Oryzias latipes: one gene and its partners. The protein of the gene in region 2 interacts with the protein of the main gene of each other region in a biochemical or structural test. Links are inferred from orthologs where the notes say so. Each region holds a gene or a part of one and is shown on either strand. Other genes may lie near its edges. The genes, in order: rfwd3, rpa2 and atm.

The links.
Region 1: the proteins of rpa2 (region 2) and rfwd3 form a complex in vitro, tested with the Homo sapiens proteins (3 studies listed by BioGRID, with this or other methods). The link is inferred for Oryzias latipes from reciprocal best matches to the Homo sapiens genes RPA2 and RFWD3.
Region 3: of the proteins of rpa2 (region 2) and atm, one has a biochemical effect on the other in vitro, tested with the Homo sapiens proteins (3 studies listed by BioGRID). The link is inferred for Oryzias latipes from reciprocal best matches to the Homo sapiens genes RPA2 and ATM.

The regions. Positions count from the first base shown.
Region 1 is NC_019864.2:6,601,251-6,604,903, reverse strand, and holds part of rfwd3 (E3 ubiquitin-protein ligase RFWD3), read right to left. Parts: coding exon 3,571-3,653; intron 2,028-3,570; coding exon 1,777-2,027; intron 1,684-1,776; coding exon 1,628-1,683; intron 1,432-1,627; coding exon 1,249-1,431; intron 1,164-1,248; coding exon 1,072-1,163; intron 675-1,071; coding exon 560-674; intron 1-559. UniProt on the Homo sapiens protein: E3 ubiquitin-protein ligase required for the repair of DNA interstrand cross-links (ICL) in response to DNA damage. Plays a key role in RPA-mediated DNA damage signaling and repair.
Region 2 is NC_019874.2:22,815,754-22,819,506, forward strand, and holds the start of rpa2 (replication protein A 32 kDa subunit), read right to left. Parts: upstream 2,142-3,753; 5' UTR 2,019-2,141; coding exon 2,006-2,018; intron 1,774-2,005; coding exon 1,682-1,773; intron 1,448-1,681; coding exon 1,346-1,447; intron 445-1,345; coding exon 331-444; intron 116-330; coding exon 41-115; intron 1-40. Other genes in the region: smpdl3b (acid sphingomyelinase-like phosphodiesterase 3b), read left to right, coding at 3,073-3,133, 3,217-3,430. UniProt on the Homo sapiens protein: As part of the heterotrimeric replication protein A complex (RPA/RP-A), binds and stabilizes single-stranded DNA intermediates that form during DNA replication or upon DNA stress.
Region 3 is NC_019871.2:24,876,862-24,880,514, forward strand, and holds part of atm (serine-protein kinase ATM), read left to right. Parts: intron 1-1,871; coding exon 1,872-1,990; intron 1,991-2,679; coding exon 2,680-2,825; intron 2,826-3,205; coding exon 3,206-3,370; intron 3,371-3,473; coding exon 3,474-3,639; intron 3,640-3,653.

The DNA of each region.
Region 1 (3,653 bases), on a different chromosome or scaffold from region 2:
TGTAACGCTTCTTCTGGAACGTTTACAACATCAGAAAACTGTGGCAGTTTAGCCATTTAAGAAGAAAGGAAAAGATCAAGAATAATAAAATCTGTCTCCTTCTGGGCAGCCTACATGTCCGTCTCTAAGCATCAGTTTTCCCCCCGTGTCTCACACAAACAGACTTGTTCTGATCCAGAGGTTCCAGGTTTTCTTTCGTCCTGACCATCAGGTCCCTGCAGCTTTGTCCTGACCTTCTCCTTGAAAAACGTGGAGGTTTAAAAGCATCCAGCTTTCACCCAGCGGCCAATGCAACAGCACTATGTCAGCGACGTCAGCCCCCAGCGTTCTTCTGCCTCCGGTTCTGACAACAAGCAACCCCCCTTTGCTGCACCGCAGCATTTCGCCTCATTAAGGGGCGTGGGATTTATACACCCCCGGGGGTCACTTTGAAACAAACAGCAGCAGCAATGACTGACTGTGTCTGCGCTCGTTTCTACATTGACTTAAGCGGCTCTTCAGCACAACCATGGAAGAGGACGTCAGAGGAAACTTGCTGGTGAGAGCAGCAGACTGATACCTGCAGCTCCTGCTGTGCATGGCCATACTTGGTGGTGACCACCTGCAGCTTGAGCTTGTACTGAGCAGACTCCAGCTCTGCCTTCCTCCTCAGAGACTGTTCCTGCTCCAGAGACCTGCACAGACACAAACACACAACATGAGCCAAGTCTCAGATACAGCTCTGATGGATGTTATGCTTTCAGTCACTTCAGTAGACTCTACTTTATAATCAGGCCATGCGTTCTTGTAGAAGCTTAGCAATCATGAGTTTCTCATCTATTACAGTTTCTGGCAGTTTTCTGCTTCACCTCTGTTGACAGAAAACTGAAAATCCAACTGCTTTTGGTTGATCTAATCCATTTGCATTTCAGAGTCCAGTTTAAATTCTGGCTCTTAGAGAAAATCCTTTTGCTTTGAAAGACGGTCTGATTGTGAACTCCTCCTTCAGATCAGTTCTTTAGATGCAGCTTTGCTTCATGCCAGAGCAGCAGGCCTACTGTGTTTGGGAATAAAAAAATGTAGACAGCTAACTTTTTTAGGCTCTCCTGCTCCGAGTTATCCAGGGCTCTCAGTTTTGGTGCGTACAGCAGCACAATGTCTGACCGCTTTGCCTTCTTGTTGCACTGAAATCACACAGGGAACACATGTTTACCATAGAAACAGGTTCAATCTTTCCACGACACTCTGGGTTTCTGCGGGGTTTCTGACCTGTGGGCATTTGGCAGCAGATCCCTGAGCTTTCAGCCAGCGGTGGATGCAGGTGTAGCCAAAGAGATGTCCGCAGCGCAGAGCAGACAGTCTGTGCTCGCCCGCCGTCGTCCAGGACTCGAAGCAAATGGTGCACGTGTCGCCTTCATTCTCCTCAGGACTGGATGACTGGACCTGGGACGTCTAGAAGAAGACACAATGACAGTTCGGGGGGGAATATGATCCACTGCTGTGTTTTTCAGCAATTTTAATCTGACACACACACGACGAACTCTGAGGCCTGCATGAACTGTGTGTTAATGCTTCTGACTTTAAAAATAAAAATGGAGATCACTGCCATGAAGGCAACAGTGAGGCAGACATGCAAGAATAGGATTACCCGGCAGTCCTGAACGGTCCCCTCGGTTCTTTCACTGTCAACGACTGTGGCAGAGACTGTGCAAAGAGACAGAGAGGGTATTTCACAGCATTAGCATGCTTCTGACAACAGGAGGGGAAGATCCCAGCTTCAGTTTTGATGCCACTCACTGGACGCACTGGCCTCCTGTGGCTCTGCCTGCTGAGGGGTAGAAGCAGAACCACCAGGTTCCACATCCTGAGCAGCATTGGATGTCGACTCCTCTCCTCGCCTTTCCTCGTCCTCCTCAGACTCGCTGACCTCGGTGGTGCTGCCGGACTCCGGCTCCGCCATGCTGGCCGCTGGCGCTCGCAGATGGAAGTCTGGGAAGCCCCTGGAGGGGCCTGCAGTCTGGCTGGGATAATGCACGCGGAGGCCCTGCCTGCAGCACAGACGCCACAACGCTGTCTATCCCAGAGGCGGGTGGTGACACATTCAACCAGTTACACTTCATCTGCACCTCTATGTAGACCAAGAGGGGAAAAAAGCCAAGTGTTCAACTCATTTCTTTGGATATTTTGAGGAAAAAAGAATTCCCAAATCAATCGCTACTTTTTGTGTCTGATTTCATCCATTTAAATTCAATTTTACTCATGTTCCAGCTCACAAACGAGTCATTTGCTCTTTGGAAGACTACTGTTTCCTTTTAATTCAATGTAAAGGACTGCTGCTTTGAGTTGAGCACCACCTTCTCTTGATCCAGCTCAGCCCTACAACTCTTTCCTAAAATTCACACTGGACGATCTTTCTGAGTGAAATCGGCTAAAAGTTCAGTTTCCAGGATAATCTGTTTAGCTTAGGCCAGGATCTGCAACCTTCAACACCTAAAGAGCCATGCGGGCTGATGTCTCACAGACCACAGGAGGAGCCCAAAGTCTCACTTCACCCTTTAGAAAAATTAGACACTGACACGTAGTTATGCTATTGCATCGGCCGCCATGATAAAAATAATTCACATTTCTGAATAATTAAATAAAAGACATTTATTGTCTTTAACCAAGAACCAAAATGGAGGGCTAAAAGAGCCACATGCGACTCTGAAGCTGCAGGTGCTGCGGCTGTATGCGTGTTCTGTAGCTCATCCATGAGCGTTTGTAGTCCAGCTACACACGTCACTTATGTTGATCATGAAGCTGTGAATTGAGTCGAGTCTTGAAAGATGTAGTTACATATTTAGGTATTACCATAACCAAAGGACTACCTTCAAGACCAAAACATAACCTTTTTAATTAAAAAATGAGTAGTGTAGTGTTATGAAAGCCTTCCCATCAGGTCTACTTCACCTAATGGCCTCCTATATGACGTATCAAGTTACAAATAAAATACAGCCTCCCAAGGCAATTATTGGCATTGATATCTTAAATAAAAAATGCAAACTAAACACATACGTAACACTATGTGTGGAAAAAACACCATGCTTAAAGGTGTCATTTACTGGAATAATATCTTAACCGATATTATTGGAATGAAGCGTGGTAATTACCTTAAAGGTTCTGCGTTAATAATAAAATATAACTTAAATAATATTTATCCAACAAATATGTGCATTGCCACTTTACCTGATTTTGATAATAACTGGAGTTTTTGCAAAAACTCCCTTGAATCTATACTCCACCTTTTCTCTCATTCTGTATTTCTTCTTAGCCCTGGAACCCACTGGAATTTATTGAACATAAACTTTGAACATAAAATTACATATCTCAGCTTTGATATTAAATACACAAAAATACTATTAATTTATTACCTTTAATTTATTACCTAAGGGCACTTTATACATGTTCTGTAAATGTGTTTATGCTCAATAAAGTTTATATAAATAAAATAAAGTTGGATTACTAAAATGCAAAAAAGGAGGTAGGACAGATTTGATCCGTTTACCTCTCTTTGATTTGCCCCCAAACCCTCATCTGTGAAGCTGCGAGTACCTTAGCCTCCTCTGAATCGGCGCCCCCTGACTGGCTGGAGGTGCGACAGCCGCTCCACCCACGGCCCTCTGGCTGAACGCCCA
Region 2 (3,753 bases):
AGATAAAAATAAAAGTTGGCAGGCCCTGTAATACACTTACTTGAAAAGAGCGTAGGTTTCCAGAGACTTTGACATATGTTCCTGGAGGCAAAACAGTGCTGTCCACACTCGGATCCTACAAAATAAAACCCAATCAGAGAAATTATTTTCTAGAAACCGGAAGTTAACTGAAATAAATGTTAAAATATATATTTTAATGAAACCAGCAATGACAGCATCAACAATGATAATAAAGATGTAGATTTGATCAAATGTTGTTTATAAACAACAATGGTCTGCAGACTGTGTCTCTTATGAATCATATTTAGCAAGGGGTTGTCACCAACTGACCTCTGTATCCACCCACTGCTTCACATCCATAGGAGCACCTGTCATGTCATCAACCCTGTACTGGATGTAGGTCATGGATTTGTCCGTGCTTCTGATGATGCCAACAATGGTGACCTATGACAGAGATGTGTAAAAAGGCAATAAAAACAATATGAAAGTACATTTTTGTTGTTTTTTGTTTGTTTGTTGCCAAGTGTTATGCATTAGTAAACACTAAATTTAAGACAGAAACCTGTCTTGATTTTTCAAAATAAAGGATCTGGAGTTGGTCTCTCTTGTTCCGAACAGATATTTTACTGCTGCTTCCAAGACTTAAGTTTGGATCAATTATTTAAACACCAGTCGAAAGGAGAAGTTCTACATGTGTGTAGCAGAATACGTTGAAGTTTTACAATCGTGGTTATAAAATATTGTTAAATATTAATTTAAAAAAATTAATTAATAAAAAAAAAAAACATTCTTTAACCCTATGATGCCTGACTTTACTTCTAGCTATGAAATAAATCATTCATGTTTTTGCTTTCATGTAGATGCTAAGTTAAGGTAATTTAAGATGGAAGTACTTTGATGCATATTTGCTCAATAAATGTCAAACAGCTTGCCAAACAAAAGATTACTTGTTCCAGATTTTCTATTTTATTTTATCATTATTATTGTGTTTTTTGTAAAGATCTGCCACATAGCAAAGAAAGGTAAAAGTCCATAACTTACTGATGCTTTTGTTTCCAACAAAAAGCTTACAAATATATTAGGAAAAAAGCTAAATCTATTATTTCCCAATTGATAAGGCATTATTTTTGGACTCATTGATTTTTTTTTTAGCTCCAATTAACTAATTATTACCGTAATTATTGAGACTTTGTTTTACTGTGACTTGGTCCCCTTCCCTTCCATCGTTATTAAATATATACATAGGTCTGTGTTTTTTTTATCTTTTTAAAGAGAGAGAGTAAAATCAAAATTATATGATATCTAATACTTTACAGTAGACATACTCTTTTGCATTTTAGGTTACCTGGTTAACCTCCACTTCTCCCACTTTAAAGGCTTCATCAGCCTGAGATGCAGACATCAACTGAGACACTGTGCAGGGTATAATTTGAGTGGAACGGGTCCTCTGGTGATGAACAAACAGACAGAAGGATTTCAGTTTTTACTAGCGTTACCGTTATGTGCTTAAAACAACACTCAAGCATACAAGACAAGTGCAATAATAATATAAAAACGGTTTATGTTAGGTCAAAGGGACAATGTGGAATTAAAGATGTTCAAGCTTTAATATGGATCACTTTTAACTACCGGTGTAAGTTTTGAAAGGCACCATCACTCTGTCGGCATTGTCATTTCTCACCCCTTTCTTCTCTCCTTGGGACAAGCCAGGCGATGCAAAGCCTCCAGGAGACTGCGTGTAACCCCCAACCATTCCCGACTCACTGTAGCCTCCTAAAGTTTCAACACAGAAATTGAAAGCAAGTGAAGCAAACTCCCTTTTCGGCATATTTACAATGTTAATGGAAGACACATTTGACAACAAACTATTACACTTGTAAGAAATAAACAAAGAAGCCACTTGACTTGAGTGTTAAGTAAAGCTAACGTTAGCTGTACCAAACAACACAAACATGCCAGTGTGAACGATGTAAAGGCAAACAAACAACTTGGATACGACATTTACCTTGATTCCACATGCTGACACTTCGTAAGTAATTCTTAAAATGCAAAGATAATTTAGTGACGGGGTGAAATCGAGCAACCAACTTGCTTAACGACCTGATTCCCGCGCGCCAAACTCAATGTAAGACGCATGCGCGTGGGATAATTCCCGCGAAACGTTTCATCGCGAGAGGTATATAGATAATGTACTGGCCCTGATTTTTGACTGTCAGGCATTTGCCACGGTTTTGGAGTAAACATTCCAATTAATGGGGAATTTCCACCGTTTTTTTCTTAAACTCTAACATTGTTTTTATTTCATAATGATTGTATTATTTTAAAAGATCTAATAATCCTTGTTTACTAAGAAAATCTACACCTGATAGAAATATTTCGGGAAATAACAAGCAAATTATGACGCTATCGCAAAGAGGTGGAACATGATGATCTTTGTTCCTTTCAATTTAAAAAAAAAGGTTTTCTAGTTGTAATGAGCACTGGTGCATGCGTAAATACTATAACTTATCAAAATCTCAAAAATTACAAATATAAAAAAATAAAACGTGAAAGGTATTTTGTGTGTGATCGTATGGTCTAAAATTTGAATTGCTTTTTAAGGTAGCCTTTTGCTTTTGTGTGTCTTTAGTTTAAATAACAACAGTAAAGGTGATAGGATTGTGTAATATTTTTCTCAGCCTCCAAATCCGCAGCTCAATAAACATAGGCTAATCAGTAACACCCTGTATTAGTATGAACTTCTAAACTTTTATTTAATTTGAAGAAAAACAATTTTCTGTTGAAAGCTTTAGTTCTGACTTGCCATGGAGAATCAAATGATAAAAGTGTCATTTTGTAGTTTCTGATGGACAAAGAGAGCTATTTTGTAATGATTTAATCTGTCAAAAGTGCTTCTTATCTTAAGCGTTCTCGTAAAAACTAATAATATTGTGTCATAAAACAAGGTTTAGTTATTATGATCCACACAAGCATGTCAGTGCCTTGGTAAGAAGGTTGTGTTGGCCCGCTCTGCCCTTCCTTTATAGACCCTTGCCTGTCTTTTCCAGCACAGCTGTTCTCAGACACTCAAACATGACAGCAACAAGCTTTTTCTTATCTTGTCTGCTTTTCAAAGGAGCTCTTGCTCTCACTGGTAAGTAGAGCCTTGTGTAACCAGCGTGTTATAGATGATTTTGTGACATTTACTTACTTCGCCTATGTGCTGATCTTTTCCAGGAAGCTTTTGGCATATCACAGATTTGCACTGGGACCCAACTTATGAAGTGACAGATCAACCGGAGCTGGTGTGCGCCTCTAGCGGCAAACGGCCTGCTTTGAGCGCCGGTAGATTTGGAGACTATGTTTGTGACTCACCATGGCACCTGATCAATTCCTCTGTGTATGCCATGAAGAGCATTCTTCCAGACCCAGACTTCATCATCTGGACAGGGTACCTACTTTTCTTCTTTACATGGTAACCTCTGTGGGTTTTTTCTGTGCAATTAGACTAATTTCCCACCAAGATGTCTACTAGATAACTAATATACACTTATTCTAGGTGTCTACTAAACATCTCAGACAACTATTTTGTTCCTTTATTAGATGTCTAGCAATAGTGTCCTGATCTGCATATAGAGGTCTCCTACACATCTTCTTGAAGCCATCTAATCTTGGGATATTTGCCTATTAGACTGTTTAAATCATGTGTAAATGTATTCGTTGTATTATCGAAGGCCTCTCATGCACCTTCTTAATTATTATTTGTTATTTAAC
Region 3 (3,653 bases), on a different chromosome or scaffold from region 2:
TCTTTACTATAAAAGCGATCTAGGAAACTATTTGCAGACTGTTTTCTTCTCTTTTTTTTTTGAAACAATTCCTTTGCTTCATTGTCTGAACAGAAGCAGGCGGTAAGAGGTGAACTTTCCCCCTGAAATGGTGCTTTGCATCACTTAACATGACCTTCAGCGGACATACCACTGTCTTCCGCTGGTTAGTCAGGGGTTGACATAGCCCAGAAATTTGCACTGGCCCACAGGGCCAGTAGTTTTTGAAACTTACTGGCCCTGCCTGAAAGTTACTGGCCCGACACCGCGCATAGCGGGACCCGCCGCTCCGCAGGTGCTTGCAACTTTAGGGGGGTCTGGGGGCATGCCCCCACGGAAACTTTTAATATGGTGCAATTTGGTGCATTCTGGTGACATCACTTATTTCTACACTTTTCAATGACTGAAAATAGACCATATCAAACTTAAATCTGCTCTAGTCTGTTTCAGATGTTTTGAAGAGAGCACTGCAGTGTAGTAGGTAACACTAGTTCAGAAGTTTTCATGGTGCTTCTAACGGCAAATATCGCAATAAATCATAAACCTTAAATGTGTTAAAACAATCTAATGGCAGCTTGAACCATTTAACGAATCAAATAAATCCCTTAATGCATTTGACCAATCGGATGGACGCCTTCACATTGTTGACCAATCAGATGGAGCCCTGTTATGTTAGATGTTTGTAACCTATGTCAACGTGGGTCATTGGAGTATAATTTTTAAACTGGGAATGGTTATTTGGTTATTTTGCTGTTTGTTTATATACCGCAAATTATATCGTTATCGCAATTTTAATCTCTGATATCGCATATCGCGAGTTTTCCTCATATTGTGCAGGTCTAACTGAGATCATTCAGCTAACTAGAAATACTTACTGCTTACAGTGTTGTAAAGAAAAACAAAATTAAGTAGTTTAACATTCTACTGCATTTGAGTCTGAGATTCAGGTATTTGGAGTTGCCTTTGATTCTTTGACATTCAGCTTAAAGCTTAGTGGATACAGTTTCATCTTCAATGCATTCATTAAATATCTTGCTGTCCATACTACTAATTATACCCACTACTCCATCCAACATATTCCTATCTATTCCTGCCATGTCTTCCACATCTCTGACATGCTTCAGTCTCTCTTCAGTGACGGTGTCGGATTTATAATCAAATGTAATGATAACCCACTGGCTTGTGCCTTCGTTGTTGCTGTTTAACATTGTTTTGTATTGAATTGTTACATTCAATAAAGTTTGAAAAAAAAAAGTAGTGAGCGCGTGCCGCGTGGTTCTCGGCAGTGAATGCCGCGCGCGAGCAGGCGGGAGAGAAGGAGAAGTGATCAAAGGTTTCCCATAGAAACCCTTGAAGTCTGAACACAGGACTAACATAAAAAAACTAAATTATGAAGACGAGGTAAATCTACACGTTTTCGCAAAATTTACTTTATTGAAAAAGGTGAAGAATATATAAACCGTTAGATATTTTAGTGGCCCGAGCGGACAAATGAAAAGTAAAGTCTTGTGGTCCGAACTGCTCGAAAAACAAGACCGGGCCAGCGGACAAATGGCTATGTCGAGCCCTGTTAGTTCTCCTACAACAGCTGCAGCAGAGCGAGGTGCGGGCTCTGTAGCCGTTACCGTGACAACTTGCCACACCCTATTTCTAATAGTCCGCTTCTTGTGAAAAACGATTGAAACCTTTAAAAGAACAGGATCAAAGTACTAATAATTGCTCAAATTAATATATTTATGGTAAGTGACCGTAGTATAAGTGCTATGGACTTCGGCGTCGTCCCTTATTTTCTGATAAAGAACACCTTGTGGGGCATTATCCCTTACTTAAGTGCCATTGTTTTGTGCCATCAGAAAGAAGCTGAAAACTTCAGACGGCTCCTTCGATCTCCTGCAGTTTTGCAAGAACTGGATTGTGCCTCATTGGCCAAAGCCAAAGTCTCCAAGCAGCTCACATGGGACAATGTCTTCAGGTAGTCTCCACTATGGAAGAAAAGGTTTTGGTGACTTTTTTTGTGCACAGGTTCAACCCGCATTTTAGGTGAACTCCATGTTTAAACACGGGTTATACCATGGTCCGGGGGAATACTCGATTCTGATTGGCTGCTGGGTGTGCATTAAAACCTGACAACCGCATGGTGAAGAAAGAAGTTCCAGTCACCTAGCTTAAATGTTTTGTATCACTGCGCCGGCTTCTTTAAAACAACCTTTTACTTCATCATTTGGACAAAAACAAGCGGTAAGAGAACTTTCTCTCTGAACTGATGCTTTATTCAACCCATCGGAAAGATCAGCATATATATATCGCCAAATCTTGACTGCAGCGGCGGTGCGAAAAAAGCGATTCGCCGCATCACGAAACAAATAGTCCGCTTTTTGTGAGAAAGGCGATCCAAATCGGGAAAAAAAACAACATTTAAGGACTAAAAACTGGTTAATATGTATTGCTTTTGTAAGTGACCATGGTATAAGCGGGTTAATGGCCTTCAAAGTGTGCATTATCACTTTTTAACGCACTTCGCGTCGGACGGTTCAGGCTTCCAAGGCGTGCGTTAAAGAATAATAACGCACACTTTGTCGGCCATTAACCCTTACATAATCTGTAAAATTCTTTTAAGATTCTGTTCTTCTAATGTGTGTCACTGCATTTTTCCTGGACCAGGTTCCTGCAGCATTATGTCCAGAAGGAGATGGAAAGTATTCAATCAAGTAGATCCAATGTGACGGCAACCACGCTGGCTATACGGCAGAAGAAGATGGCTGAAGTGTGCAGCTTGATTAAGTACTTTATTCGTTATGCAAACAAACGTAAGGGCCACACTCTGCAGTCCAAGATGTTGTTTGGCATAATAATAAAAATATGTTTCAATAATGATTGTAGACACACATCTTTTGTTCCCTACTCTGATCCTTAAAGAATGACTTTAATGAAAATTGGGGTTTAAACATATTCTAATGATGGAGGACGTGCATAAAGAAAATTAAGCTTAAAAGTACAGAAAGTATAGCCTAGAAAACAACATTGATTTTGGTTGAAAACGGCGTAGTCATAATTATATCATCATATTATATGACCACTGGGAACGCTTTAAAAATACATCAAAAGATGATCGGAGTGGGGCTTGAAGGAAAGCTTTTGAGTAGACGCTAGTCAGAATTTGGTTTTTACGTATTTATTCTTTTTGCAGGCGGGCCTCGTCTGAATTGCAGTGAGCTGCTGAAACACGTGACAGAGGTTCTGCAGAGCTCCCACTGCTGCACAGCGTACGGAGAAAATTACAGCAGCATCCTTTTAAAGGACATCCTCACCGTCCGCAAGTACTGGTGTGACATCTCTCAGAAGCAGTGGCAGAGTGCGGAAGCATTTTTAACTCCATTTCTGGAAAGTTTTGCTTTGTCAGCTCTATTCTCCAGAATTCTACATATCATTTTCTTGTTCTTTGTTTTTTCTCATAGATCTGTTGGATTTGTACTGTGGCTTTTTTAACTCTTCCTCCAGATCCATCAACCGTGTGTTGCTCAGCAGAGTCATCCACACGTTGGTGCGGGGCTGCTGCACGCAGACCGACGCCTTCACCGACGCTCTGTTCGGCTTTTTCACCAAAGCTCTGCTTAATGCCAGGTGAAATGTCAAAT